Linked DNA regions of Xenopus tropicalis. The protein of the gene in region 2 interacts with the protein of the main gene of each other region in a biochemical or structural test. Links are inferred from orthologs where the notes say so. Each region holds a gene or a part of one and is shown on either strand. Other genes may lie near its edges.

Region 1 (10,912 bases), on a different chromosome or scaffold from region 2:
AAAGAGCAAGTGTAATAATCTAGTACCAATTGAGTGACTCTTTATAACCAATTCCCTTCAGTAGTGACTGGGTAACAGTGGCAGGACAAATATTAGCTAGAATCATAAAATCTGTAGGTATTCTGTTGCATCAGAGTAAACTGTCCCTTTAGATCCTGACAATGACTGTGACCAATACACCTGCTTGCAGTGCGCTTAGCCACTCACAGTGTATTAGAACTGGATAAATGGGGCAAATTTATTGTAAGGAGAAACAGAAATAAGGCCGGAACTAGGAGCAGGCAGAAGAGATATGTTCCTTGGGGCACTCATAATTTATCTCTTCTGCCTGTCTACCCCGAGTTCCTGCCTCTCTGTAGCTCACCTGCTAGCCCAGCTCGTCACCACTCCATCCCACTCCTCTCTCCTTTGACCGTTCTATAGCTAGAAATCTGGTTCTGTCCAGTTACACAATACCTTGCTTACCCAAACATCAAGGCAATTCAATGAAATGACACACATACCCAACATCACCATTACTACTAAACAATAAAAGTGACAGTTTACCCTCTCATAAAATACCTTGAAATCCAATACAAGTGAACAGAGAACTTTCTCTGGTGTCACCTTTTCATAAATTTGCTCCAAAATCTGTGCTCTTGATACATTCCAACCAAAGCCTGTTTTCAATCATAGCTATAGCGCCTGCTTTGACAAAACTTTCCCAATACAACTTTCAAGCAAACACACTGGATATCAACTTTGAGTCAAGCACCCATGGGTAAGTATCCTTATAGTCAACCATTTTCAGTTCTACACAATGGCTAGAAACCCAGTTACACAATGCCTTACTTGCTCTAAATAAACAAATACAACAGTGAGAATGCTCCTGCTTCTCTAGAAAAAAAATGTAAATATTTGATGGGATAGAGGTTAGTAATAAAATCTGCTAAAAACTGATCCTGAGTGATTTCTACACTCCAGTTCATACAGTCATGTGTTGTTGACCTAATAAAATGATGCACATATTTTTATGAAGTTCCTGATGTTCCAAGTCACTCTTTGAAATATGAGAAATGTGACATTTGTTTTAGAACAATGCAGCTTCCTTTCATTTCATTAAGTATGATGAACCATTGTTTGTTTTACATGGAGAATGGGCACCTGCCATTTCTGTAATTGTTTGCACAACGAAGAAAAGTTGTGCATTCACACACATAACTGTCATATTACTTTAATATAAAATCTACCTGTCTATTTTCTTTAAGGGGATATAAAGTGAAAAACATGGCAATGATGCTTAAGGCAGGCACCATATATCTAAGTATCTCTATAATTTATTAGAATCTAAAACATGTAATGTTGCAAGAAACTGCAATTCTGCTGTTAAATGCACGATGCCTGTTCCTTACCATTATCTGCCCCAGTGGTTTTGACCTTTGAGACAATCCAGCAAAAGACAGAACTGCGAAGAAGCATGGTTGGTGAACTTCTGCTACATTGTTTCAACAGAGAAAACCAGCAGTGCAGAAAGGTCTGTCAACTGAAATTATAAATAAGTTTACACCCATTGAAAAGTAAATTAAAAAGTTTCTTAGAATTACATTTTCTTATAAAGCAAACTTTTTGGTCTTTTAACTCCTGCACAAACTCTACATGTATCTTCTTACACTTTATTAGTATAAAAAACTTGCGTGCACACACAAAAAGCTGCATACAAAACTGAGTTTAACAGTCACGCTTGTATGGAATTATCCTGACTTTACCAGCAACATGTTGCTGAGAGACAATGAATAATAGAACGGAGTGCTACTCCCGGCATGCCTTTGCTGGTACTGCGGTTTCCTGGAGACAGGAATGTCAAGTTCCCACCCAGGTCTCCAGCCACGTAGGAACCCTCCCTGCCAAAGCCGACTCCTCCCTTCCTCTTGTTTGGGAACGGTGGCTGGGGGTGAGTGACGGGGAGAGGGAGGAGAGAGCATTCTGAGCAGGTGGCTGAATTTCATTTTGAGACAGGTGCATAGCAAGGCGAGCCAATGAAATGACTCACATACCTAACATCACTATGGCATAGACTCAATATATCTCTATTCAAATGAGCTGCTGGGTTCTCAGTGCAGATTTAATACAGGTATGCCACTTTATTTGCCAGCAACTCCCAAACTAGATACAAATTCAAAAGCTATGACTAATAATGGCAGCAAGAAATATGCAAAACATACAGTGACAACATCCACATCAGGGACTTACCAATGCATATTAAACAATTCATTAATTTAGTATGACCTTAAAACTGGTAAAATCCATTAAAAATGTTCAATGCAGTTTAGTTAACTGTAGACCATCCTTAACATTAATATTAATCAGATTTTTTGGGTTTTTTTTAAAGTGTGTTAAACAAAGTATTTTAAATATGAAGGATTAAACCAACTGGCCAATACAAAAGTCTATAAGATCCCCAAACTTGTTCTCCCCCTGTGTATAAAGCACAGCTAGTAAGGACAGCGTTCCATCCTAAGGTGCCTAACTGAGTAGTCCCGACAGACACCTGGCCTGCTGCCTCACAGCCCACGACTGTGGTTTACTGGAGCACATAAGGACATACCACATGATGCAGGAACCGCAGTTGATTTTAATAAAGAGGATGGATCTGAACCCTGTTGCTGTCTACAATAAGCCCTGCACCCCCAGAGAGCTCCCAAATCCTGATAGAAGATACAGTTCTGCATACATGTGATTTTATGCTTTTAAGAGCTTTGGTTACCCTTTATTTAACATGACTGCTGCCACCCTGTTCTCATTTTATTTTCCAGTCCCCTTCAACTGGCACTGAGATACAGGCATTAGTACTGTTCAATATATCTATGGGAAAACCTGTTACATTAATCCTAATGTACTAAGGCACTTTAATAATACATCCTGAATGGGGTGCAGGTAGGTGCCCACACAATGGGACACACTGTATTAGAGCATGGAATGGAGTCGGTTCCAGTAGATGTCCATACACTGGGACACATCAGTATTACAGCATGGGATGGGGTGACACTAGGTGCCCACACACTGGAACACATCAGTGATATAGGATGGAATGTGGTGCCTGTAGTTGCCCACACACTGGGAGAAATTAGTATTACAGGATGGAATGGGGGCCAGCAGGTACTCACACACTGGGAGAAATTAGTATTACAGGATGGAATGGGGGCCAGCAGGTACTCACACACTGGGAGAAATTAGTATTACAGGATGGAATGGATTGCCAGTAGGTGCCCACACACTGTGAGAATTTAGTATTACAGGATGGAATGGATTGCCAGTAGGTGCCCACACACTGTGAGAATTTAGTATTACAGGATGGAATGGATTGCCAGTAGGTGCCCACACAATTGGACAAATCTGTAATACAGGATAGAATGGGGACCAGTAGGTACTCACACACTTGGACAAATCAGTATTACAGGATGAAATGGGGGCCAGTAGGCGCTCACACACTGTGAGAATTTGGTATTACAGGATAGGATGGGGGCCAGTAGGTGCTCATACACTGTGAGAATTTAGTATTACAGGATGGAATGGATTGTCAGTAGGTGCCCACACACTTGGACAAATCAGTACTACAGGATAGAATGGGGACCAGTAGGTACTCACACAATTGGACAAATCAGTATTACAGGATGGAATGGGGGCCAGTAGGTGCTCACACACTAAGAATTTAGTATTACAGGATGGAATGGATTGCCAGTAGATGCCCACACACTTGGACAAATCAGCACTACAGGATAGAATGGGGACCAGTAGGTGCTCTCACAATTGGACAAATCAGTATTACAGGATGGAATAGAGGCCAGTAGGTGCCCACACACTGGGAGAATTTAGTATTACATGCGGGAACTGGGGCCAGTAGGTGCCTACACACTGGGGCACATCAGTATTACAGGATGGAATGGGGGCCAGTAGGTGCCTACACACTGGGGCACATCAGTATTACAGGATGGAATGGGAGCCAGTAGGTGCCCACACACTGTGAGAATGTAATATTACAGGATGGAATGGGGGCCAGTAGGTGCCTACACACTGGGACACATCAGTATTACAGGATGGAATGGGGGCCAGTAGGTGCCTACACACTGGAGCACATCAGTATTACAGGATGGAACTGTGTGCTAGTAGGTGCCTACACACTGGGGCACATCAGTATTACAGGATGGAATGGGGGCCAGTAGGTGCCTACACACTGGAGCACATCAGTATTACAGGATGGAACTGTGTGCCAGTAGGTGCCTACACACTGGAGCACATCAGTATTACAGGATGGAACTGTGTGCTAGTATGGTGCCTACACACTGGAGCACATCAGTATTTTCAGGATGGAACTGTGTGCTAGTAGGTGCCTACACACTGGGGCACATCAGTATTACAGGATGGAACTGTGTGACAGTAGGTGCCTACACACTGGAGCACATCAGTATTACAGGATGGAACTGTGTGCTAGTAAGTGCCTACACACTGGGGCACATCAGTATTACAGGATGGAATGGGGGCCAGCAGGTGCCTACACACTGGAGCACATCAGTATTACAGGATGGAACTGTGTGCCAGTAGGTGCCTACACACTGGAGCACATCAGTATTACAGGATGGAACTGTGTGCCAGTATGGTGCCTACACACTGGAGCACATCAGTATTATCAGGATGGAACTGTGTGCTAGTAGGTGCCTACACACTGGGGCACATCAGTATTACAGGATGGAACTGTGTGCTAGTAGGTGCCTACACACTGGAGCACATCAGTATTACAGGATGGAACTGTGTGCCAGTAGGTGCCTACACACTGGAGCACATCAGTATTACAGGATGGAACTGTATGCCAGTATGGTGCCTACACACTGGAGCACATCAGTATTATCAGGATGGAACTGTGTGCTAGTAGGTGCCTACACACTGGGGCACATCAGTATTACAGGATGGAACTGTGTGCTAGTAGGTGCCTACACACTGGAGCACATCAGTATTACAGGATGGAACTGTGTGCCAGTAGGTGCCTACACACTGGAGCACATCAGTATTACAGGATGGAACTGTATGCCAGTATGGTGCCTACACACTGGAGCACATCAGTATTATCAGGATGGAACTGTGTGCTAGTAGGTGCCTACACACTGGGGCACATCAGTATTACAGGATGGAACTGTGTGCTAGTAGGTGCCTACACACTGGGGCACATCAGTATTACAGGATGGAACTGTGTGCTAGTAGGTGCCTACACACTGGAGCACATCAGTATTACAGGATGGAACTGTGTGACAGTAGGTGCCTATACACTGGAGCACATCAGTATTACAGGATGGAACTGTGTGCTAGTATGGTGCCTACACACTGGGGCACATCAGTATTACAGGATGGAACTGTGTGCCAGTAGGTGCCTACACAAGGACACACCAGTACTAGAGCAAGGAATAGGTGCCAGTAGGTGCCCATACCCTGGAATACAGCATGGTTACAGGATGAAAGATCCCACATAGACAGGCTGAGCCAAGACACAGGATGTAACAAGATGTATGTATAACAGAAAGGAATTAGAGACTCCTGCGCAGGGTACAGCAGTAATGCTGCATGTTACTAGTGTGCCAACTGGTACCCTTGCCTGGCACACACCAACATTACAGTATGAGGTGGGAACTGGTGCCCACAGTGCAGGGCACGGTTACATTACAGCAGGTTATGGTATGCCATTAGGTTCTCGTAAACTTGGACATATAAATATTATAGCATAGGGGTGCCAGTAAGTGCCCATGACTAAGGGCACACAGTAAACTGTACAGAGGTACGAACATGAAAATATGAACTGGATGTGGGCATTACAAATGGTACAGAACAGCTGCAGTTTAACCTGTAGGTATAAAATGCTTGCACCCTTGAGCACTTTTCTATACAGTATACTGTATAGCACTGGGTATGGTAGGCTAATAGCGATATATCGGTAAAGTTCTACATAAATACATACATACAATTGTGTATTGCCAGGGACGGCGGAACAACAAGAGCGCGTAAACCAATAATTAGAGCAAAAGGCAGCGGCGTGGCAGCTACAATCCACTGCTAACTCCATAAGTGCGCACTTACTGTGAGAGCGCCTAGCTTCTCCTTTCTCCGGTCCCGCCGATAGATATCCTTCCGACACATACAGCACAGCCCTCCAGTCCCTCACGGCAGCCCAACACACTCTGCCAGCCTCAGTCACCGCGCTGTCACCGCCCGCTCCTGCCGATTGGCTAGCACGCCTCCTCTTGTCCGTGTCCCATTGGCCATTTGGGCTGCCACTCCGGAACACACAGGAGCCTTTTGTGCTTCCAAGGTTTATTCAGGGCAAGGTTTAGTAACCCTTCCAGCGCTGGGAAGTAACTCAGCAACACAATTCTTACAACAAAGCTCTCTTGAGTTATACGCTGTCGGAGAATGTGAGGAGAATTAGATCACACTGGCTGGCTACCCACTGTTTGGGGCTATCTGCCTTATTTTATTGTGCATTATAAATTAGTACTTGGAAGCTTGGCAAAGTTCATAGGGCATAAGGACATAGGGTATCTTGCTGACGGATCATTTACCTGCATGTTTGCGTTACAAGACCTGTAGCAAGTATCTTGGCACTCAAGGCAAGGGTCTATCTCCCCAAATGCTTTTAATACACCATTACCCCTATGTAGTAGAGTTAGAGATGGGCAAAGACCAGGTAAGGTAACAGGGTGGGGAGGAGAGACAAGGATCTGGAATTAAGGTGGCAATACACCGAAAGATTCTCACTAAATGCCAGGATACAGGCTGTTGAGATGAGGCCAGCAACAATGCACCAACATGCTCATCCTCCTGGCTGGATTTTTAACTTGCATCAGGCAGATATCGGTTGGGTAGGCTCCTCTGAGGGCCCCATACACAGGCGATATACTGCTGACTGACAGAGAACAGCTTTTATAGGCCCCTGGATGGCCCCCATGAAAATGAGCCTTTGAACTAGTGTGCTGCTGTGTGTGAAATAGTTGCCCCTCTTGGTACCTGCCTGTACTGCCTACCTCTAGTTCTGGCCCTGTTGCACCCTGGATGGGTGTCATAGTCAATTGGGCTTGACCCCAGGCCAAAACTTGCAAGGCGAAGGAGACTCCAACGACCTGGTGGGTCTCACCCTAGCTTCGGTGACGTTGGACCTACCCATGCCTTCGGGTAGGACTCACACGCGATGATTCAGCATCATTGGGTTAGGACTGGGATTCAAAATAAGCCCAGGCATTTCAAACACACAGAGGCCCAAACAGCCCTCCATTAGCCCTATAAATAGTGACTGTTTATTTGGCATCTTGCAGCAGCCCCTCTGGCATTTGCCGGAATCCATATATTGCCAGTCCGTGCCTGTATTACATGGTCTTGCTTTTATACTAGTTAGGTTTCACAGTGGTAACAGTCATATAACATTGTACAGGGCTCTCAGATTTTTATATTTAAAATAGGTGAAAGAAGGAAGGGGAAAAATATAATTAGAGAGTGTCATAGAAACAATTTAAGCAAACCACACCCATTATAAAGGCCACACTCAGTTAACATAAACAAGATGAAGGCATAAATAAGGGGTTCATTTTAAGCCATTTACAGGTTTCTGGCTGAAAACCAGTACACTTGCAGCAAAAAAACAGGAAGTACAGAAGCCTTTAGGCTGTTATACTTGGTTAATAAAGAAATACTTTCTGAACAAAGCATTTCTTGGTTATGGGAGTAATCTTTTTTTAGACAGCATGCTGAAAACAATCTTTTGTCAATATTTTGTCCCTTTAAATATAAATGTTCCTTTAATAATCAAAAAAGTTCTTTCACCATCAATATTAACAGATAAGCATTTCCTTAGCTTCCTAAACAGGATATGGGATTGACTTGCAGAGTGGGGCCTCTGACCTGCAGCTTGTGCAGATCTGCAAAGCGGTGGGATATGTTAGCCTGCCCATATTCTGTATACTATTTGCATGAAATATCTTTTATGGAGCTCCCATATGTCCCTTTTTTTTTAAACTGTTTCCCAGAGAGTTTGGTGTTGGGGCACTATATGTCTCAGTTTTGTCTCTTTGTGTCCTGGTTTCACTCAAGTCTAAAAGTCTAAAAATTCCAGCTTCTTGCATTTTTTTTGTAAATGCTTAAAAATGTAGGTGTGGCATGGTAAAAATATTGGCAAAATCATGCACCACATATTTTTTTCTAGCATCCCTTTGTATTTGGTAAAACTTAGAAGCCCTATTTATTTATCTTTCATAGACCCGGGAAAGCTGTCAATAGGTGCTTTGGAAAAGCAGCAGATGGTTCTTACTAGACTTGAAGCAAGTTTTTTTTTATTATTATTTATTTATTTTCATTATGATCAGTTTAAGAAAGACATTTTCCAAGGCTATAGTTAAAGCCACAAATGATATATCAATTTATTATATAAATATATATTTTATATTTAATTTATATAGGTAATGATGTAACAGCTCTAAGGTTACAAGTTATAGAGTTATAGAGGCCATGCTGAGTGCTGGTAGCTTCTTTAACATAAGGGATAGGTTGTTTGTTATAATAAACAAGAACAGTGTAACACAAGTGACATCATTAAGCACTGATTAACATAGATGGCATACTTTAACGCAATTTATAACTATTTGAACAACTTTGTAATGACTTTTGACAAATAAAATGATATTAACTACATAGTTTTGTTGCTCACCCACAGGCCCCTCCTGATCATGATTTCTGGTACAATAAGTTAGAGTAAGCCAGGATGGACTCCTGTTAACCATAATGAAGGATATTGTTCAATCATAAAACAGAAAAAAAACAGAAAAAAAGTTACCTATAGGTCATGTTTCTTATTTTTTACTGATAGGGCTGCTTTTGTAAGTAATTGCTACTTGAAGATCCTAAACCTGACTGTTTTGCCAGCCTGACTGTCCCGTCTCAACCTGTCAGTTATAGCTTCTAATGCTAAGGGACTCCTGCTGCACAAATATAGCAGCCCCCTCATAGAGGAACATGGGGATTAGCTAGGTAATGTAAAAGTATTGGGCAAATACATTTATGGCAAAATTATAAAGAGCATGCAAAGACAATGTTATAACAGTTGTAAAAAGGGTTTCATTTCTGGCGTCAGTATCTCTTTAAGCATGTACCTATTCTGCCTGTCCCTAGTTCCAAGCCCTAAAGTCTCTACCCTTATTATTTACAATAAACATTGTTATTCGGTATAACATATTGTTATATTATAATGTATAAAGCCAAATGTTAACATTATTATAAATAAGAGTGGAGGTAGTTTATAAACACTGGCCAAATTTGCACTAGGGCAGAAACCCATGGTAGAAATCCAAATCTGTCCTGCTGTGTGACCCAATGGAAAGGAAACATTACAATAGTTGCATTAGACCAGAGGTTCTTTGAGATCCCTGAAGACTTGGTGCTGGTCCATGACACAATTGTTGGAAAAAAAGATCCTCTTTTGACAGCATTGGGGGATGATTATAGAGCTGAGTTGTTGTATCTCACCAGCAGTGCAAGGTACTGACAGCCAACACCTTCCCAGCTGCCACTTTCTAGTGCCAGATGCTGTAGAGGTCATGGGTCATATTTTACCCTTGGTGCATGGCGCTGCTTTCTCTGCACTCTTCAACGCTGGCCCGCATTCCCACGCATATATATAATATAGAGCTCTTATTCAGAATCCTCTATATTTTTATGTATATTGAGTACAAAAGAGTCAAAATTATCCTGTAAATTATAATAGTTGCTTAGTGATGCTATTTTTGTCACATGACTCACTAATATTGCCTTCCCCCTCATCCTTATATTTTGCAACGGGGGTATATATATATATATATACATATATATATATATATATATATATATGCCATAAAACAATACTGCTCTGCTTCCACCAGCTAGCAGCTTTATTTTGTAACCTTATAATTATCTGTGATCCCTGGGCTACAATTTACTGCAGGAACTCTATTTTTGCAAAAAGCCTTTGGATGTGCCACCTGTTGCTGTTAAGTCAGAAAGCTTATTATGGTTTTTTGTGGCCTCACTCACAGTACATAACTGCCAGTATTTGAAAATAAATAAAAAAAAAATCCACTCTAGGGCATATTTATCAAGGCGTATAAAAAATAGTATCAACATACTTTTTACCATGGTATACCATGTAAAATCAAGAAATTAATTGACCCCTGCATTTTCCCTCAATGGTTTATACTAGAGTGGAGTAAAATAATGGCCTGATTTCATAGGTAAGCATAAAGTTTGCTACTGTTCTAGTAACCCATAGCAAATAGGCAGGTGTTTGCTTTCAAAGAGGTGACCAGTAATAAATGCTACCTGCTGACTGGTAGCTTGGGTTACGAGACCATTGGCAAATGCATCTTCTACATTACTTTCTTTGTTCCTCTACTTTGTCCGCAGTGTGATCTCTTATAAAAGGCACATACACCCTTCCCAAAGTGCTCATACTGTTGTAATAATTGCATTGCCCTTGTAATGATGCTTTGTTTTTCTCCCCTAGATTTAGTGCTCTTATCAAACAGTCGCTTGTATCCTGCTCCCTGTGTGCCCCTGGAGCTCCCCTGTGCTGCAGCCTGTAGTGGGTGTAGTTAGTGATAGATGGACTTAAAACAATGAATGTCTGGAATGTAAAGGGCAGTGATCTGTGTCTCCTGATGAATATGATTTATTTCACTGAGTGATTCTAAGCAGGCCCTTTAAAATGTCCATTTCCTTGGGGACTTCCTGCAGAGTGTGCTCTGCCCTTTGCCATCCTGTCCAGCTCCACTTGCATAGGAGGAGCAGGGGACTTGGTTTTGCATTGTGCTGGCGCAAAGAGGTTAATCAAGTACAAGTACAATAGCTGGAAAGGGGAGAGATAGGGGGAGAA
Region 2 (10,812 bases):
AGGTTACGTTTGAATTATTCTAAAATTCCTCAGTGGCAGCAATGTAAAGTCCAGTTGCAGCCAGGCAAGAATGTTAATAATGCCATCAAGGGGAAAAGGATGTCACAGTGACACCTTCACAACATGTAACATTCTAACACCCTGCCTACAAGTCATTGACTTGTATCCACATGATTACGCTTGACTAGAATACAGGTCTGTTTTACTGCAAGGGTGAACCACAAGGGGTCAGTGTTAGTACAGGTTCAAGTATAGCATTTTTAATTATTAAACACTAACACTGTGAGGAAGTGCTTCTTCCCGCTGTTTATTTTTCTCCCTTTCAGAGCTTTCATTAACTAAACGCAATTAACAAAATATTTTATTCTTGCAAAGCATGAGTCTAAATAAATAGTTGTAAAGCTCTATATCTGAGACAGATCTTTGTTTTACCTTCATGTTTAATTCATAAATAACTACCATTTTCAGTACAGCCGCATAATAGGGTTATAAACAACACATGCACAAGGTTGAGAAAACAGGGTGGCAGCAGAGGTCCTGCCGGTGATTTCAAATTAATTTTAAGGATGTCTACATATCACAATGCATATTAAAAACCATAATAATGTGTTCTGTGATGGGTGTGGCTGCTGAGACAAGTTTTTACTCTAAGGTTTGGTTGTATTTAATAACACAGCGCCACAGCTTTTAAAGACAGGTTTATACTCTTATGGATTGTTGAAACTTGTTAAAAAAAAAAAAATCCTTGTTATGCCTTAGTAGTCCCTTGTATCACTTTTAACTTGTTGCATCTCTATAGATGGAACGGCAACGCCTGGCACGGGAAAAACAACTGAGGGAAGAGGCGGAAAGAGCCCGGGATGAGCTGGAAAGAAGGCTGCTGCAGCTAAAAGAAGAGGCTCAGATGGCCAATGATGCATTGGTAAGACTTGTCTGTAGAGCCAGGTATTTCATGATTTATTAATAGTGTTACCCATACATATCTAAGCTTGAATGACTTTCTAACTAAACATGTGAGAAGTCATTGTGCTAATGGGGAATGAAAGCTGTTTGCAGCATCGTCAGGCTTCTGTTACTATTTGAGGTCTCTTGTATCTGGGATTGCTAATAAACAGCTCTGTATTGCTGTTCTCCCTAGATGCGGTCAGAGGAGACTGCTGACCTACTGGCAGAAAAAGCTCAGATCACAGAAGAGGAAGCCAAACTACTGGCCCAGAAAGCAGCAGAGGCTGAACAAGAAATGCAAAGAATCAAAGCCACAGCCATTCGCAATGAGGAAGAAAAGCGGTTAATGGAGCAAAAGGTCATGGAGACAGAAATGCTGGCAATAAAGATGGCAGAGGAATCAGAACGGAGGTAAAGTTTGCATTTGACACTGCCTTTTTTCATTCCTTGTAATAGTTATTCTTGTTTTACTTTTTTTTACCAAAGTAATCTTTAACCTGCGGGCTTCTGCTGCTATTAAGGGACTAACACCAGCATGTTGAGAGTTGTATTTTAGCAACAGCTAAGCATGTTGCAAGTTACAAATGGCAGCTTTTGTCCCCCAGTTTTGCTTGTTGATGCGGTCCCCGAACTGCCCACATGTTCCCCCGATGTCGCCCACCCATAGGTGGGGATATCGGGTAAAGATCCGCTTGCTTGGCAACCTCGCCAAGCGAGCGAATCTTCATGTGTATGGGCACCAGGTACAAATGTGCCCAATTTTGATAAATGAGCCCCTGTATGCTTCTTTTTGAACTAAGTTGTTTTAACTGCTTTCATTCTCTCGTGTTGTTTAGAGTTAAGGAAGCTGAGCAACTCAAGCAAGACTTGCAAGAGGCTCGGGATTCAGAACGTCGAGCTAAGCAAAAGCTTCTAGAGATATCTAGTAAAACCTCCTATATGGTGAGCTGTCTAAATAGCAGTAACCTTCCCGTTCATGTGATTTGAATCAGATGTCTATATCTCATAAATAGAAAAGAGCTGGAGGCCCCTAATTAGGCAAATAGTTCTGACAACATGTAAAGGGAGCGTAGGTCACTGTTGCTGGAGACTTCATAACAAACTCTTTTGAAGTTTAGGAGAACATGCAGTCTGTCTAAATTATTTGCTATTATGCTCCTCCTCTCTGCACCGTGAGATTTGAGCTGTCTGGTTGCAATGTTCAGTAAATTTACATACCAGTGTACAGGCTTATTCATATCAGGTGGGAAGTGCCATATATTGGCCAGAATGAGTAGATCAAACGAGAGGAATAGCAGCCACTTCCTCATATGAGGATGCACATTTCGGCTTACAAGTTGGTGCAGTGACAGGTAAAATTATCATTTGGCAAGACAATTGCAATCTAATTGTGATCTGTACATTTTTTCACCCCAGATGACATACATGTGCATACAGTCAGGTATTATGATCAGCAGTTTTCTGTTTTTAATAGAGCAGGTGACGGTGGTATGAACTCCTGCCTCAACCCAACTGTATGTTAAACTAGATAACTGTATTTAGCAAGGCAGTTTAAAGAGGACCTGTCACACAGACACACAAAGCTGTATGATAAAAATCCTTTTAAAATTATGTATTAAATTCAAATTCCTTTATGAACACATCCATACCCATTATAAAGCTATTTAAAAATCCCAGCTGTCAATTAGTCACATATAGTGCCTGCCTCACGGGGCGGGGCAACACTTACTTTTACTTTCAACTCTGCACTGTCCATGATGTCACTGCAGTTCTTACTTACCCCCTCCTTACTATCTAATTCTGTAGCCAGTGTTTGGGCATGTGCATGTTGTCCCTCCCCCCATTCTGGCACATAAACAAGATTTCGGGGTGATAAAAAGCTTGTCTTAATAACAGTGCCACAAAATGGCAACTGCTTGCTTGCTGTGATTGTGAATTCCAAGACTGAAGGAAACAAGATTTAAATAATTTTTATAGTGTAAATCCTCTTTAAGGGTTATATCATACATTGCAATTCTCAGCGTAGCCTTAATATGTGGTGTTTTTAAAACCTTTATATTGGTCAACATAAAACTGCCCAGCACTAATTTGAAACCTGTAAAAAAAACTGAAGTATTTCAATGGGATGTTTTGTAGATGATTTTATTCCTTATTCCCCCATAAAACTTTCTTTAATAGTGTTACTTATATATAACATTAAGAAGTGGGTTTATGAAGTTTGTATTTATGTTACCCATCCTGGGCATTCAGTAGGATATAGAAGCTGTTTGTCAGTTTTCAGTACATAATGATTTAATTGTATCTATTCTTAAATGAAAACTGTCATAGGAAACCTAAAACATATTTCACTTATGCCTAGCTTTGGGTCCAGAAGTGTAAGAAAACATACAGCAACAGCACAATAATAAAAGAGCTACATATGGATCTGCATCACTGATATCAAAACCAGGGCTGTGGAGTCGGTAGATAAATACTTCGACTCCTCAGTTTCTGATACTTCCGACTCCGACTCCTCTGTTTTTAATATGCTAATGTATTTTATACATTCATTGAAGGAAAGGAAGGAGACATACATGTCATTTAACCACAGAACTACTGGCTTTGCATTGGGCTTTACTCTAGCAGAGAAGTAATTAATTATGACTGTTTGTGAATTGGGACATTTAAACTTGCTTTATTTATTTTTTTTATTCGTATTTAAATTTAGTAGGAGTCGGTTAATTTTTTTCCGACTCCAGGTACCCAAAATTGCCTCCGACTCCTCGACTCCGACTCCACAGCCCTGATCAAAACATGTATTGTACATGCCCTGTGTGTCTGTGCATGACTTGCTGGCCACGTTTGAGGAAACAGACACATATTTTATTCCTACAGGTGGTGGAATTCACTATGTTATGATTACTATGTAAATGTAACACCTAAACTGGTGTCATATCATCTGGAATTCTTCTTAAAACTATTCATTTTTTGGCAGCAAGCTATTTAATTAACCTGTTACGTGCTGGCTTGCAGAAGTGCAAGCTGGATTCCCATGAAATACAAAAGTGTAGAATAATAATGTAGAATCTACATCACCTGAAATATGTCATGTAAATGTCAAGACTGCATATTTTAAAGGGTTAATTCAGAATCACAAAAATTTGCTGTTTGTAGTGCTAGGCATAATTTTATCCTGGGTGTTCCTGTGATTAGGTGTGCACCTCTTCCCAGGCAGAATTCCTTGAGTGATAGCAAATAGCCACCCAAAAAAAGAGATTACATAAACTTTAGTAGATCACGTAAACCATTAATAGCTAAACTTTCTGTAATTAACAGTAAGTAATAATAATATATAAATAATAATGCTAGCATATCTACTTCAGAGCCCACTCCAGGCTCAAATGCAATCTTGACTCTGCTCAGGGGCAGTGGAAAAACATGCTTTGGCCAGGTATATCTCAAACTGATATGGCGTAAGAGGGGTTCGTTACCTCCAGCTCCCTTTCATATTTGATGGAGGTTTGATTAAAGACAGGCTCAGTCATAAAACACACACTGCAAAAAGGGAGTGTTTTCCAAACTTTGTAGAATGGAAGGTATTTACTTTTTTTAAACAGCAGTTTGACTGTTCCATTATATTATCACTACCTTGCAAAGGAAATATGACCTTTAGTATTTAGCACAAAGTAATTTTTAGAAATTCAGCCCAGGTATCAAAACAAGGACACTTCATGTTTTGCTATATATTTTGTCAGACTTGAACTTTGCAATTACTGTTCCAAGAATATGCATGGAATTCATCTAAATCTAAACTATGTCATTCCACAGCAAGCAGCAGGGGCCGCCAGCAGCAGCAGCACTGTGCCACCTACAGATGTGCCAAGCTTCAGCATGCTCAGTGATAGTCTACCCTACGATTTCAAGGACACAGATATGAAGCGTCTGTCCATGGAAATTGAAAAGGAGAAGTGAGCAAATGGAAAAAGAAATTCACTTAATAGTTAGGACCTTGTTATAGGGGTTGTTCACCTTTAAATGATCTTTTATTAAGATGTAAACAATGATATTCTGAGGCAATTTGCATTTGGTTTTCATTTTTTTATTTGTGTTTTTTGTTATTTAGCTTTTTCTTCAACAGCTCTCCAGTTTGGAATTTCAGTAGCTATCTGGTTGCTTGGTTCTTGTTTACTTTAGCAACCAGGCAGTGGTTTCAATGAGAGACTAAAATATGAATAGGAGGGGGCCTGCATTAATAACATTGTAAGCTCACAGAGCAATAGGTTTTTAGGTGTCTGGGTCAGTGACCCTCATTTGCTGCAAAGATGTAGAAGAGGAATGCAAATAATTCAAGGACTTGGAAAAAAAAATGAAGACCAATTTCTAGGTATAGGACAGTCTATAATTATTCTATAAATTATATATTAAAAGCTAACTTAAAGGTGAGCCGCACTTTAAGTATGAACAGAAATTCGTATAATGGAATATAACAGAGTTACAGATAATGAAGGTCATTATGTTGCACACCTAATAAATTATCACTTGTATTATAAGCTGTATTACAGACATCCAGTTGCAGTATTAAATAAACGTGCACATAGGAAATTTGTTCTTGGGCATAGAACATTTTATGGAAAATTTACTATAATGTTTTCCACAGCAGGTAAAAAATCTAGATATTTTATATTTGGAAAGCCCCATTCAGTACTGTAAACATTTGAACAAAAGCTATTGAGAGGGGAAAAACATTTTCAGACTTTTCAGATAATTTTACTTATTGTAACACCAAAACCAGATGTACTAGTCCTACTGTAAATATACATCTATTGAACTTACTGAAATTTTGCCAAATATAAAGTACTATTAAATAAAATATTGTCTACACTGGACTGGTTAGGGTGGCATAGCTGCCACTGACACAGCACTTCTAAATCCTTTATAGATAGTTTTTAAAAGGGCCTAATATCCTGGAATCCTATGCTTATAAAGAACCCCCCTCCATATTATCCACACAACCTGCTCTTAACTTCCAATTAAATATTTCCCTACTTCAGGGTGCAGATTTGTCAATATTCTCCTGTTGAATTTTTCACCACAGACCAAAATCGTTAGTAAAATGCCTTGGCTGCAGTGTTCTGCAAAAGGAGGGGGTGGAATCAAATAAATGAGGAAATCCAAAACTTAGTACTGCAGTACAACAAACAGGGGTTGCATAATAGAAATAAACATTTTCCATGCATCCTCTAAACCAGTTATGCCCATTTTCACAGGATGAGTCACATGTTAGAGCAGCACTTTTATCCTGTTTAAACTTGTGTGTGCTTCTGTTAAATCTGCATGGGTCTGTAAGCATGTCAGTAAACTGATTTCTTTCTGCTTATTAGGAATGAAGTCTCCAGCTTACAACACCAAGTGTGTAGTTTTGTTGGACTTATCCTGGACTAAGAATGCACACATAAGGAAACCCTATGAATATACATGCTTCATTCCCATTTGTTTTAGTTGCTTAGTCCATGGGTCTTTTTGTTTGTGTCATTCAGGGCATGGAGTTCCAATTTCACATCTGTGGTACTAACTTTAAAGGATAATCTGAAGTAAGTAAGGGCTCTCTGACTTTTATTTGTTTCTCAGGGTTGAGTACATGGAGAAGAGTCGCCACTTACAGGAACAGCTGAATGAGCTCAAGACAGAAATAGAGTCCTTAAAACTGAAGGAAAGAGAAAGTGCCATGGATATAATGCATGAGAATGCAGGCAGCAAACAGAACACAATTAAAAAGGTGAGTCTGCATACAGTGCGTGCACAGATACACAAGGCAGTTCAAATGCACTTGGATTCATGCAAAAAATGTGCACAAATGGGAAAGAAAGCAGGGCAAACAGATTTACAGGGTAATGAAAGAACAGCATATTTGTACATATGTAGTTGGGGAAAGGACTCACAGATTTATAAAAGGTAAACACAGATATGAAAAAGTTTAAATATAGTAATGTGTGTGCTATAAAGAATTATTATGTGTGCTTAGGTGGAGAGTTATTATGGGCAGTACTCACACACATGCATGGAGAGCTGAGACCATGTGCAAGCATTAAGCGTAAGGAAGAGGTGTGGTACTCTGGTCCCTGTCAGTTAACTGTGTTCAAATATTCTGGCATTTTTCTTTTCTTCTGTTAGGCGAGGAGAGCTGTCTGCATCTGAGCGTGATCCATAGTGTGTGCCAGGTATTGTGAGCGTGTGTGTACCACTAACACAGTCTGTGTAACACTAATTTTTGTGTGTATGTGTGCATAACCCATTCCAAACAAAATCAGGATGCCTTTTTTTCTATGTGTTGAGTGTTGCGCTGCACTGATGTGATTTAGGAACACTTTAGTGGTTATGGTGTAGTGACGTTTCTGGTGCAAGACTCTAAAATGTCTTATCTGTTATTTTCCAGTTAGTCCATTATTCAGTACTATTAATGGGGTGCTGTGTCATTCTTTACTTGTATGACAACATTGTGCTGAGCCCACATCATCCATCCTTTAGAGCTGATGCTGTAAAGTACATCTGTCGATACACCCTTTTTCTATCAAGTGTCCTGCTATATATATATATATATATATATATATACATACATCCTGATGACGATCCTGTGGTGATCGAAACGTGTAGATGGTATGCTGAAATAAATCACTGACCTGATTGATGCTGTAGCTGTGAGTGCTTTCTACTGTTGAGTTTGATATATATATATAGTAGAAAGAGTGCCGCACACACAGGGACTTGATACAAAAGAAAAAGTGGTTTTATTGAAAAAATTCCAACGTTTCGAGCACAATCTGTATACCGTATATATATATATATATATATGCATTCTAAATGTCAGTTATGGAGTGGTCCGTATACTGCTAAAGTCCAGTTAGGTGTTGGAGGTGTGACCGTAGTCTGCACTCCAGGATTTGTTAACGGAAATTCATACTTATTTACAAACACAGGTACTAAGGCTGATGTCCCATGAGGAAATGTAGTCGTCCGCAGTTCAACTAATCTCTTATTGTACAGCACTGCAGAATATGTTGGTGCTTTATAAATAAATGATAATAATAATCTCTCCAAAATGCCTTTCCACTGACAATACAACAATATAAATCGCTGGTAGAAATGCCTACGCATCAGTTTGGTTTTCCAAAATCACACAAAGTTTCCTCCTGCAGACAAGTTTGCATGACTTCAGAAAGTCAATGCTATGTGTAGGCCATTCCACCTGTAATTCGTGATGTTGCCAGTGGAAAGGCATTTTGGAGAGATTAGTTAACCACGACAGAAGAGATCTATCGCAGGTGACTGTATCTTTCCAAGGGACATAAGCCTAAATAGCAAAAAGTATATTTGCCCATAGTTACCAATCAGCTTTTAATTTTGATTAGGCTTTAACCAGATTAAACATGAAATTAACAATCTCATTGGTTGCTATGCGCTAAGTTGCAGTTTAGCACCTATGTTAGTAAATCCGCACCATTACATTTTATTTGTTTAAACTTGCTGCTCACAACTTTCTCTGCGATTGATCCCTATGCTTCCCATCTTATCAGATCCTGCAGCATTCAGTGCTTACATTCTCTATAAGAAGTTCTCCAGAAAATGCCCCCTCATATTCTTAATGATTTAATCTTCTGCATAACATTTTAGGGACTGTGATTTCTTTTCCTTGAATTCCTTGTGTATTATAGTATTAAAGGAAGTGTTAATTAATCTAAGTTCAGTATTCCCTGCAGTCTTAACTGTAATTTACTGAATATGGAACTAATTGCAGTAAACCCCTAATAATATGGGTACTTGCGGCTGAATGTCAAGAGATAAGTGATGATCTAAAAATTTGATGAATTCCCCCTCCCATCATTCGCAGGGGTTTCCTTTCTCCCACAGCTACATCTCTCCTCCTACCACCCCCTGATTCTCACACATGAGGTGTTCTATTTTCTGAGGGAAGCCAGCCGCCCCGCATCACCCTTAATTGGATGCGAGAGCTAAGCCGGTCGGCAGAGAGAATGGGGGCAGCCAGAGGCAGCCCTAGGGAATCCCCCTCCCTGCCTGCAGTGCTCTGCCTGCAATATGCATCAGAGCGGAAACTTAGCAGAGTTTGTCTGTGTTCCAGTTGCCTGTTATAACTCCACTAAAAATCTGTCACATGTTTTCCTAGTGCTGAAGATCCCTGCAAATAAAGACTGTTGCACACTTGAAAAGAACAAGTGCTGTGGATATACTGAAGAAAACCATATGCACAACATTAGAACCTTTGTTTACACACACACACACATAGTCACAAACCTTTATTCCTAACTGTATATTCTGTACAGTTGGCATGCATCATCAGTGGGATGAAACATAAAACAGTAGCCCTTTGAAAGGATTGCTAATATTGTTGCTTTGCAAGTTGTGTGTGTCGTCCCCATTTGTGCATGATGTCAATAGGTTGCAATATTCATGTGGAATTTCAGGTAGCACTTGTAAGGTCTGCTTGGATGAGGAGGTTCTAGTGCACTTATAGCACCCCAAATATGGTAGTAGTTGCAGCAACTACTTTATTTTTTGTGCTGTGAAATTACTCTTAAAGATTTTATACTACAGTGTTCAGTCCATAATTTTATGTTTCTAAAACAATGCATTCCAGTTGTTTTAGGTGTTTTTGGTTAAGGCCTTGATGTATACTGTGACAAGCTTTTGAGGATAGACTAAACTGTTTTCATCTGTCAGCAGTCCTTGTTAACTGTGGCACTGTCGGATCTGCCTGGTCCAGTACAGCAAAATGTTTGTACAATCCATACCCTGGCTTCCTAAGTGTATATGTAACAGCTGTTGCTTTCAAGGTGTTCCTTTGCTGGTCCTTAGTATTATTATTATTCTGCATGTGTCCAGGCCAGGTCTGTGTAGCGCTGGACCCAATCTCACATTGTCTAGGCCAGCTGTGGTACTTCCACCCTGGCAATGCCTATGTCAGCCCTAATGATTCTAGGGTTATTATATGTGTGTCAGTACCCAAAGCTTACTCTGTGGAAGCCTGGGAAGCCCTGCTTGCATTATATAAACGATCATGATAAGCCACAGAGAAGAAATAATTTATAGAATGTAAAGAAATAAACACATTTTGTTACTCTGTTTTTGAGTTTGTTATTAAGTAGTCTTTATTTAGGCAGGTTTAATTTCAGCATCAAAAAAAAAAAGGCCTGGGAGTCAAAGGCTAATATGAATGTGAGGGTAGGAGCTTTGTATGTGTGCAGTGTGTAATGCATAAGCTGCATTCTTGGGGCTATGAACTGAATTATTTAGCATGAAGTCACTACTGTACTCAAACACGTTGGCCATGTGGTTTAGCCACACACTGGGGACAATGTGTCTGCTATTACAGTTTTTGCAGCTTGTGCTCTGAATTGCAGTGCAGCAGAAGAATACAGGGAGTAAAAGTGATAAAAGAAAGCGTAAATGTAGGCATTCCTGATAGATAACAGTTTAATAAGAGTATTAATTGCTGCTGATGGCAATGCTTCCTTTAACCTCTCTTTTTGTCTCTTCTCAGCTCACCCTTCAAAGCACACAGTGCAGAGTGGCTTTCTTTGAAGAACTCTAAGACGTTACCAGGGTGCTCCAGACAGCTATAGCCTCCCCAAGGACATAAAGATTCCCAGACAACTCTTCACAATTAGAGGGGTCAATATGCAGTGCTACCGTTTATCTTTACACTGGGAAACAAGGGGCACCCTCAGATATGTCTCCATTAAATTCTAATATTAAAACTGCTGCTTCCCTTTTGCTTCATCGTAAGCTAATTAAGGGATAGTGCTTTGCCACATAGTCTGCTAGAACTGGGAAATTGCAAAAATATTTTTTTCAGGAAACTCAAGTATGTTTTTA
Region 3 (10,812 bases), on a different chromosome or scaffold from region 2:
GAGAAAGCACCCCCCCACAGTTGCAGGGTACTGGATACAATACATCGGCCAAGTTTCTGAGAAGGAGATTATAGCTAAAACCTACAAAAACAGCAGGATAGAATGACTGAATTTAAAGGTTAAAAAGATCCCCTGAATGAAGGCTTAGCTATTTTCCCTTTGGATGTAATTAAGGCTCGGGAAGGCAACACCAGTTCAAACATAGCCTTTGTACTGTGTGAGCCTTACACAAGCACGGGTCAGCCGGTGCACAAACTAGCCCTACATCACACTCAACCAAGCAATACGTTTACACTGTCGCCTGCGACATAAACATAAATACCCAATAAACATTGAGTCGGGTTTGAGAAGGGAAGCGAGAGCGCTGCACACTGGAAGTGTAAGCAGATTGTTGTTGTATAAAGAGGCACCGGGGAAACAGTCTCCAATCCTTCCAGCACCCAGCGGGAACTGGGCCAAGCCCGAGAGTTTATACTAATCGTCTGTGTGTTTACTTTGAGTTCTCAGGCTGGATTTGTGTCCCTGGAGACACTAAACAAAAGCATACAGAGGAGAGTTAATGAAGTCTCTGGATATTTAAAAACGAGGGGGGGGCACTTCGGTAGGGGTTCCATAGCCGCTAATTTCATGTCTTAAGTCTGGAATGTAAGTGTGGACATTGTGACCACCACCGACTGGGGCTTAGGAACATTCTAGCAGGGTTTTTTAGCCCAAAAACATAGGGGCAAGCGGAAACTGCAACCCTATTTGGGTCACACAGACTGACAATCTATGGGTACAGGCAAATGCCATAGACAGTCACTATTTATTGGGCTGGGGGGGGGGGGGCTGTTTGGGCCTCTGGGTACTGGGAATGCCAGGGCCCAGGCCCAGACTGGCAATCTCTGGGTTCAGGCAAATGCCAGAGGGGCTGCTGTAAGGTGCCATAGTCACTATTTATTGGGCTGGGGGGGGGGGGGGCTGTTTGGGCCTCTGGGTACTTGGAATGCCAGGACCCAGGCCCAGACTGGCAATCTGTGGGTTCAGGCAAATGCCAGAGGGGCTGCTATAAGGTGCCATAGACAGTCACTATTTATTGAGCTGGGGGGGCTGTTTGGGCCTCTGGGTACTTGGAATCCTTGGGCCTATTTTGACTCCGTTTGGGCCTGCGTGCAACTGAATGCACTAATACACTGAAGTGATACTTCTAGAATGTCGATTAAACCCCCCCCCACTTCCTTATCTTAAAACCCTTAAGACTTACAATTACCCACATCCCCAATGTGCTACACTGTACAAGTATGAAATTCATGGTGAAATCCCAAACTCCCGGGCAGCTCATTTCAGCTTCTAAATCCATAGCACACAAGAATGTAATCCTGTTCAGTGTCACATGTTACGGACAAAGGATTATTGGAAATGTCAACACAATGAAATAACCAGAGTTATTAGAGCCTTAGTGGCCATGCAGGCACAGATCTGATTGGGCACGCTGGCCGATTTCAACCTTACTGGGCAGCCTTTTATTCAGTGGCTGCTTTGATGGACCATCTTGTGATCCTTCTCATACTGCAGTTGGTCTTTCTGAACAGAATTCTGATTAAACAGAAGGCTGACTAGGCATTATGCCCATCTGTGTGTATGGCCAGATCAGACAATTTCCAGCCATTTATTCCAGTCAGCTATACCCTTTAACAGATTACAATATAATTCAGATAAGGTGCCAGCCATCTTACGATTCAGTGCCAGGCCTAACTATAAGAGCGCCAAGGCAACTCCCGGAAGTTCACCAGTCCTCCCCACCAGTTAATTGTAATGTGTATTGTCACCTTATGATCTTCAGTTGCAGGAAGAATTGTTCATTTTCTCCAACGTTAAGAGCTGAACTGTCAGATATGCAGGTAGAAATAATAATTCTACCCTTATCTGGCATTTCAGCATTAACTTTTGCCAATGTCTGGCCACCTTCAAAAGGTGCCCAGTCAAAATTTCCCATCCTGTCCATAGTCAAGACTACGGATATCCAAGGATTTTGCCGACATCGGTCACCTCGACAGATGCACGCACAGGAATCCTATGCGATTACCGAAAAGCCAAAACTAGGGGCAGCCAGGCAGAATGTATGTGCCCAGTGCCTCTGCCCACCCTTGCGCCTAGGCACATGCCTCTTCTACCTACCCCAAGTTATGGGCAGGAATCCAGACAAGCCTAAACTAGGAGAAGGCAAGCAGAAGAGGTATGTGCCATTTGGAGGAACCCCAACTACTCAGCCAAACCAAACCTAAGAAAGTTATGTAGGTGTAAAGCTACAATTCTTAGCTTGCAATGTGCAAATTAGAGCTCTGCATTCATCCAGATCTATTGCAGAGTCTGTTTGGCTGAACCCAAAAGTTATGGATGTGGTGCATCCCTACTTCAAAGCTTCCGCGGCGGATACCGCCGATCCGAATAGGCACAATTAAGCATATAAACCACGGCTCGTGCAGACTTTATGGCAATGTTTTTACTGAAGATGTATAGAATAAAGGTAACAAACGCCTATAACAAAAAACTGTTTGTCCTTTAAGATGGACAGCACCAAGGAGTGATGGGAAAGGAGCATGATTATATAAGAAGGGGGAGGGTGAAACCACTAAGATAATTAGCGTGATTAGGATTATTCTCAAGGTTTCCACAGCAACCCTTTGTTGGCAGTAATGCCATAAAAAGCAATGATACAGAGAGAAGTAATCCCTTTGACATAATGGCAATCCTATTGAAAGATAGTTTGCTGTGCAGCATTACTGAGAAGGAATAGGTACTGTAAATCCCACAGCCCTCCCCTGTTCCACCTGTTAGGCAGAAAGCTGTGTTGGTGCAATCTATATAATCTGGTTAACGAGATTGCAGAGGCGGGTGAGGAAAAGACACAAGCAATATAGGTTACTCGCCTGTCAGATGCTGTTTTCCCGGAACCACATTGCACTCCTTGAAGTAGGAATCTGCCTCTGGGTCCAAGACAAGCAAGGAAGTCTCGTCTCCCCCTGCCTTGATGGCAGCCACCACATCGCCATGCTGTTTCCCAATCACATTTAAGCCATTAACCTGCGAGAGATACAAAGACCACCACAATAACAATGCAAGTTTATGCTGACCCGAGAAATTTCAAAATAATTAAATCGCCAGGTCCTGGTTAGAGACTTTCAACTGCTGCCATATTGCAGTGACATCACTTCCTAAATGCTACTGGCAGCCAATACCATAACAGTGCTTTTTAGCCTTGGTTCTCCAATACATGATCAAGGGTTAAACCAACATGATCAAAATTATTACCTATTAGATAACGCTTGACTGAAACTCCCAGCACCTTTTACCATCAAATGGAAGCATAAAAGTTTCAATAGACTTGAAGGTTGAAGAAGCCTGCAGATTATATTTTTAAAAAAATGCCAGTACCTCAGATCAAAGGTAGTTATGCTGGGTAAACGTATCAGTTATATAAAAAATATAATGCTTAGAAAACTGCCGTCACCTTCTGTTTTAACTCTTCTCCCCCCCCCCCGAACCATGAAGTACAGTACAAATAGCCCCACCTACTATTAAGGCATGACAAGCTAAAAGCAGAAATAGAAAGGAAGGGGGTCTTTAAACTATTTTAATTCCCTAGGGCAGGGATCAAAAATCTTTTTTTTACTGTAAAAAGTGTTTGTGAGCCACACTAGCCTGAAAAAAAGTACTTTGGAGATGCTGAAGGACTGTAATTGGCTATTTGGTAGCTCCGTGGAGACTGCAGGCCTGTAGGGGGCCTCTCAGAGCAACATCAAAGGGGGTGCTGAGCAAAGTGTCGAGCCACTGGTTGGGGGATCACTGCCCTGGGGGTACCACTATGTCCGGAACCCCATGCTACCACTAGTGTGGCTCATACCTCTACAATGCGATCCTTGGGTAGAAGCCCTGCAAGTTCTGCTGGTGAGTCGGGATCCACCGCTCGTACAAACTGCCCTGGGTGAACCTTGTCACTGTGCAGGTTGAATCCGAAACCACTTGGTCCTTTCTTTATGGTGCAGAGTCGGGGTCGCAGCTCCTTCTGAGAGACACAAGGGTAAGATATCAGTCACAGTGCTTTAGTTTTATAATGAGAGGTAGAACTCATCCCTCACATCTCCAGAACTGTGGGCCCCCACACCAGCCCCAGTAGGCAAAGAACAGGTTACTAGCAATAAGTTAGCTGCTTCCGCCTTCCCCCAGCATGCCTCGACACGACAAATCTTCTCTCCTTCCCTCTGCCCAACTCAGTTGGCATAAAATTGGCACATGAAGACTTCTAAAGCCCCAGCCAAAAGCGGTCAAAAGGGAGTGCCAAAGTAAGGGGGGGGGGGTAGATGAAAGTGCAAGCAGGACACGAAGTCTGTATAAAAACAGAAAGGCTACAATTGTCTGAGTCCACACTGCGAAAGTAAAATGAGCATCCAGCAATGCGACTTAGTTCTACATATGAACCGAGTCGACCCCCCCATGCTGCACACAATGCACTCTTGCAGGGGAGGGGGGACCTCAGCTGAGAGTTCGTTAGCAGCTTGGCAGGGAAACAAGAGGAAGTGAGGAGGCCGCAGCGAGAGTGACATGCGGGGGGGCAAGTAGAAGAAGTTCACACAGTAATGTACCAAACACCAGACAAACCTTCCTCATTCCCAATATATGGTCAGATTTGTCCAAATACCCCCAGCCGCAACTTCATTCTGGTAGCAAACTTGCCATCTATCCAGCGAGGGGCCAACAGGATGGGGAAGGGGGAATAAATCATTAATTGTAGCCTTTTGCATAGTCGGGCACTATAGTGGTACTTACCCTATCCAGGACAGGGGTGGGTTGCTTCTCAGTTGCCTAGTACAGGGGAAGAGAAAAAGAAAAATCAGAGCCATATATACATAAACATGCAGTATGCCATCCATATTGCCCCTTTATAATAATCACTGATATTGACTGGTTAGAAACGTTGCACTCATTGGGGTAACTACTATGCAGCAGGCCCCATAAATGCAGGAGGGCCCCAGACTACTTAGTACCCCACATTTATCCTCTGCAGTCTCTCGTGCCTCCAGCGATCATCCACCTTCCCTCTAGCCTTCCGACTGGCCAACTGCCAACTGGGAGAAGGCGGCATGATCAACACAGCGGGGTCATTACTCAGTGTGGTGGGGGGGGGGCAGCTAAAGCCCTGTTACATATGAAATATTGGCATGCGTCTCAGTGTGCAAAATAATCCATGACAGAGCCAGGAGAGTATTTATATATACTATTTAATGCTCCATTTCACACCCCTAGACCCCAGTATAGCCTACTGGATGAGAAAGGAACACGTTCAAGCAGGGAAGAAACTGGTGTGAAAGTGGTGGTTTTAACAGACCTTTTCTCAAGCCAACACCTCTCTAGAGCAGAACGTTAGCTGTACAGCTACACAAAATCATTGCACAACTTTGCAAAAAGGTACAATTTGTTGTCAGGTGCCAAGGTTTGGTTTATTTCAGAAAAGGGCAATGAGTAAGTGGGGCCCCTGAGACTTTTAGAACCCACTGAGTGAAACTCAATGACCTTTGCAGCCAAGGGTTCTCTTACCATTACCTTCCATATGATATGACACTATGGCACTGCCAAGGCTCTCCCTGGCATGGCTTGTATAGACTGCCAGAAAAATGCTTTTATTACAAGTGTCAGTTGTGACTGCCACTTGGAACAAGGTGACAGTCTTAACTACCTAGTGTGGGTCTTTATACTGAGCCGAGTAACCACAGTGGTCATGCTCACTCTGCATGTCACTGCCTAAAGACAGAGAATATGGTCTAGATCCGGGGTTCCCAACCTTTCTTACTCATGAGCCACAGTCAAATGGAAAAAGACTTGGGGAGCAACCAAGCACCATAAAAGTTCATGGAGGTGCCAAATAAGGGCTGTGATTGGCTATTAGGGGCCTCTATGCACCCTATCAGCTTACAGGGGCTTTATTTGGTAGGAAATCTTATTTTTATTTCAACCAAAACTTGCCCCCAAGTCAGGAATTCAAAAATAACTCCCTGGTTTGGGGGCACTGAGAGCAACACCCAAGGGGTTGGGGAGCAACATGTTGCCCCAAGCCACTGGTTGGGGATCATTGGTCTAGATAAAGTGGGCATTACTCAGAAACATATGTCAGTTCTACTTGGAGGAGGAGGGGGGGGGTTCTGATTGGTACATAGGCTGGTAATTGATGCCAATCCAGGATAATGGCACAGCTCCACCACCACCAACACATAGGGTACTATATACCCTTCTCTATAGAAAGAATTAAATACCCAAGTCTAGGATTCATGCCAGGCAACTGAGGCACTCAGGTACCCAGCTGAAGCTGCCACACCAGACTGGAGCGGTGCCATGCCAGGGCTGTCTTTAGTGCTGGCAAGGCCCAGGGGCAAAAAGCTTGTTGAGCTGCAACTGACTTTGTATCTAGAATAGTTGTGCCGAGACAGCCGAGCCTCTGTTATAAAGTCCCTTCCTAGAAGCCTTTCCTGGAACTTATACCCTGTGGGGTCCCGATTACTCTCTGGCCCATAGTTTGCTTCCCACTAATGACAGCGGCATCCATCATCAGCTTGGCTGCCGTGTGTGGCCGATCCACTAAACGGAGAATAGCGTACCCCCAATTGTAAATTATAAGGATATTAAAAGTTAAAGAGATCCATATAAGGCAGGTGTCCCAAACCTTTTTTACCTGTGAGCCACATTCAAATGTAAAAAGACTTGGGGAGCAACACGAGCATGAAACCTGTTCCTAGGGGTGCCAAATAAGGGCTGTGATTGGCTATTTGGTAGCCCCTATATGGACTGGCAGCTTACAGGAGGCTCTGTTTGGCAGTACACCTGTTTTTTATGCCTCCAAAACTTGCCCCCAAGCCAGGAATTCAAAAATAAGCCCCTGTTTGAAGGCCACTGGGAGCAACATCCAAGGGGTTGGGGAGCAACAAGTTGCCCCTGAGCCACTGGTTGAGGATCACTGATATAAGGACATGAGGTCAATGGTTGTTGGCATTCCATGACCAGTCTAAAACCACAAGGCGTTCTATTGGTCATGGAACAAATGGTGACTTCTAATATCATATTATATAATAGTGGTACGGTTTTTATAGACACAGTGAGTCATATGACAAATTACATCATTAAAATTAAAGATAACTGATGACATCACTATGCACCACGTAGAAGAACCCATTTTACAGGAAATCATGGCTCTTTGATTATATCTTTATAATTTACAGTTTGATCACTCCCCTATGGGATCCTTATAAACGGTGCCTAGTGATGTCATCAGTTATAATCAGAGCTCAGTGATGTAATTTCTGTCACACAAATCACTAAAACTTGGATATTATAATAAAGTGCCCCCTGTTGTAAAATATGAGGATATTACAAGTCAGCCTTCAGCTCATGCTTTTATATAGTAAAGGAACTCCTCTGTGACTTATAATATCCTTATATTTTACAATAGGGGGGTACATTATTCACTATATATTATAAGGAACTCCTCTGTGACTTATAATATCCCTATATGTTCCAATAGGGGGTACATTATTCACTATATATTATAAGGAACCCCTCTGTGACTTATAAAATCCCTATATGTTACAATAGGGGGCACTTTATTCACTATATATTATAAGGAACCCCTCTGTGACTTATAAAATCCCTATATGTTACAATAGGGGGTACTTTATTCACTATATAAGGAACTCCTCTGTGACTTATAATATCCCTATATGTTACAATAGGGGGCACTTTATTCACTATATATTATAAGGAACCCCTCTGTGACTTATAAAATCCCTATATGTTACAATAGGGGGTACTTTATTCACTATATAAGGAACTCCTCTGTGACTTATAATATCCCTATATGTTCCAATAGGGGGTACATTATTCACTATATATTATAAGGAACCCCTCTGTGACTTATAAAATCCCTATATGTTACAATAGGGGGTACTTTATTCACCATATATTATAAGGAACCCCTCTGTGACTTATAATATCCCTATGTTACAATAGGGGGGACTTTATTCACTATATATTATAAGGAACCCCTCTGTGACTTATAATATCCCTATATGTTACAATAGGGGGTACTTTATTCACTATATATTATAAGGAACTCCTCAGGGGCTTATAAAATCCATATATGTTACAATAGGGGGTACTTTATTCACTATATATTATAAGGAACTCCTCAGGGACTTATAATATCCCTATATGTTACAATAGGGGGTACTTTAGTCACTATATATTATAAGGAACTCCTCTCTGACTTATAATATCCTTATATTTTACAATAGGGGGTACATTATCCACTATGCAAACACAAGTTCAGCATTAGAAACTCTAGCAAGAGCAGTATATACCCTGGCACTGCATGGCATCACTTAGCAGGGGTAGGATACTACGTATAAAGCCAGCAAACTGCCCCGACCCCCCCATACTGAAGGGGAAGCTATTATCAGCAGGACTCCAGTAGGCAAGTCATGTGACCAGGTGCAGTGGGCTCGCCAGGCTGCCCCCATAATTCGCTCTGAGCCGAGTACCTTGTTTTCTTCTTTAGGGGAGCTGGGGGCCACCTCCTCCTCTACTCCCTGTACCTCCAAGGTGAGTTTCTCAGTCGCTGCCCGGATTTTGCTCACCACCTGCTGGTGCCCGAGTTCCCTCACATCCTCCCCGCACACCCGGATGAGCCGGTCCCCTGCCCTCAGTCCTGCTTTCTCAGCTGCTGAGCCAGGCTCCACCAGCCTCACATACTGGCCCGGCCGGGTCTTCTCACTGTGCAGATGAAACCCGTAGCCCGAATCCCCCTTTTCCAACACGCACACCCGCTCCGAAGCCATATCGAGCCGCTACTCTGCGCCTGACTGAACTCAGGCTCTGCCAGCTTATAGATTATATAGCGAAAGGGAGGGCGCGGCGGTGACAAATATGAGAGATGTCCAATAAGAGGGCGGGGACAGTATTGCCGAGGGACGTGATTGGAGGAGAAAGTTCAGAGAGAGGCGCGCCTATTCCAATGAGCTTACGCGGGATTCGGGCCCTCAGAGTAAAGTTTAATCAGTGCCGCCGAGTCATGTGACCCGGGGAATATAATACGGCCCATAGGCACAGGTGGCATCTTTACATGTCTGCTGTCAGTGAAACCACTTTAATGGGTCATTTGACATCCAAGCAGCATCTATAAACCTGTACATAGACTGACCCAACTGAGTATGACAGAACATAGAGTATTATTGCAGCACCTCAGGCAGCAGGGTGGAGCTGTGCCAGTGAGGGGAGGGGTGGGGGGGTTGATGATGGCAGCAGTGTTTATAATAGTGAGCAATTAGTGCATTCAGCATGGGGACTTTGCACTGGAGATTAATGAGCAGCTTGAGGCATCCAAAGAATGTGAGAGGAGGGAGCAGTACAACTCCCCAGTACCCTGGCATGCACCTGCCCCTCGCCTCATACAGCTCCTCAGGCACTGCCCCTCACTGAGGCTACCATTATTGTGCTGTTTAGCTCAGTGTTATTTGCTCACCGGGGTGCCATTCTAGAGAGCTGTGCATGACACAATATATATGCTGAATTCGGAAGCGGCAGAGGTGCGCACTGGGACCCCAGGGGCCCACCAGAGAACCTAAGACCATGGGCCCATTCTCCAAAATATCCTCCTTTCTTCACAACCATTTTATTCTCCTAGTCTGTTTTATTTACATGCTAGCATCTATTCTTCCATCTATTCCTTCTCTTTCTTCCCATTCAGAAATAGGGAATGACCATGAAACAGGCCAAATGGTCAGGAGCAGGAAGGCCCACTGACCCCTGGGCCCAGCGGGAGTTTTCCTGGTATCATGGTTGGCTGGTCCAACACTGGGTGCCAGGGTCGGACTGGGCCGCCCTAGTGGGCCCAGTCCGACCTTTGCCGGCGCTCCCCCTACTGACTGTTCCTCCCCTGACGCGTTCAATTTATACGCGCTCGGGGAGGACGTCAGGCGGGGGGGTTAGGGGGGCCCCTGGGGGGGTTAGGGGACGCGGCTGGGGCACTTGCAGGGCCCCTGGGGCGGGAGCCCCGGTGGGCCCTGCACCCCCCAGTCCAACCCTGCTGGGTGTGCAGCACATGGGGTCCCCCTAGAACGCCCCTCGGTTAGAACCACACAAGTCAGGGTGCACTAGGAGAACCAGTGGGTTAACTATAGGGGAATCCCTCCCCCACCCAGCTGTGATGCCCTGTTCCCCATGAGTTTGGTTGGTGGTGGGTTCTGTGAATGATGGGGGAGCCAGGCATCCAGAGTAGCACCCCTGTAGCGAGCCCCATATTAAAGCCCACTTGTGGATCCCTTTTGCCTGTGTGAGCTGCTGAATTTTTAATATGTCTCCAAGTGCAAATATTATTACCGCATAGACAAGTCCTCCATGTACAGGACCTAAGGCTAATGTCATATGTGGCGTGGAAATCGTCCCACTGCCACCCACTCTGTGTTGCAGCAGCATTGACCGCCATGGCCTCCACCTGTCATTGCTCATATTGGGCAGTTTCTCGCCTCAAAATCCATAGATGGGGATCAGTTGGTGCCAGGGCCGCCATCAGGGGGGACAGTCGTCCTGGGCCCAGAGAATTCCCACTTTTAAGGGGGGCCCAGCCGTGCTAAACTTTTCTGGTTAGCTGGGGCCCCCTTTAATCAAATACGGGCCCAGTCCACCTTAACATTGGGCTACTTAAATTTCATTGGTGGTCAGCGGCTAATTCGACTGGTTGCGCCCCATGCATACACGTGATTTCAGTATGCACAGGGCACACATTTATAA

What was found.
Region 1: the proteins of nf2 (region 2) and amot form a complex in vitro, tested with the Homo sapiens proteins (2 studies listed by BioGRID and IntAct). The link is inferred for Xenopus tropicalis from reciprocal best matches to the Homo sapiens genes NF2 and AMOT.
Region 3: the proteins of nf2 (region 2) and slc9a3r1 form a complex in vitro, tested with the Homo sapiens proteins (2 studies listed by BioGRID). The link is inferred for Xenopus tropicalis from reciprocal best matches to the Homo sapiens genes NF2 and NHERF1.

What each region holds. Positions count from the first base shown.
Region 1 is NC_030684.2:52,195,088-52,205,999, forward strand, and holds the start of amot (angiomotin), read right to left. Parts: upstream 6,269-10,912; 5' UTR 6,100-6,268; intron 1-6,099.
Region 2 is NC_030677.2:144,759,491-144,770,302, reverse strand, and holds part of nf2 (merlin), read left to right. Parts: intron 1-799; coding exon 800-922; intron 923-1,138; coding exon 1,139-1,356; intron 1,357-1,781; coding exon 1,782-1,887; intron 1,888-4,752; coding exon 4,753-4,892; intron 4,893-6,552; coding exon 6,553-6,700; intron 6,701-7,095; coding exon 7,096-7,119; 3' UTR 7,120-7,142; intron 7,143-10,477; coding exon of another isoform or gene 10,478-10,528; 3' UTR 10,529-10,812. UniProt on the Homo sapiens protein: Probable regulator of the Hippo/SWH (Sav/Wts/Hpo) signaling pathway, a signaling pathway that plays a pivotal role in tumor suppression by restricting proliferation and promoting apoptosis.
Region 3 is NC_030686.2:43,958,520-43,969,331, reverse strand, and holds the start of slc9a3r1 (Na(+)/H(+) exchange regulatory cofactor NHE-RF1), read right to left. Parts: upstream 8,881-10,812; 5' UTR 8,862-8,880; coding exon 8,565-8,861; intron 4,843-8,564; coding exon 4,807-4,842; intron 4,046-4,806; coding exon 3,884-4,045; intron 3,064-3,883; coding exon 2,910-3,063; intron 1-2,909. UniProt on the Homo sapiens protein: Scaffold protein that connects plasma membrane proteins with members of the ezrin/moesin/radixin family and thereby helps to link them to the actin cytoskeleton and to regulate their surface expression. Necessary for recycling of internalized ADRB2.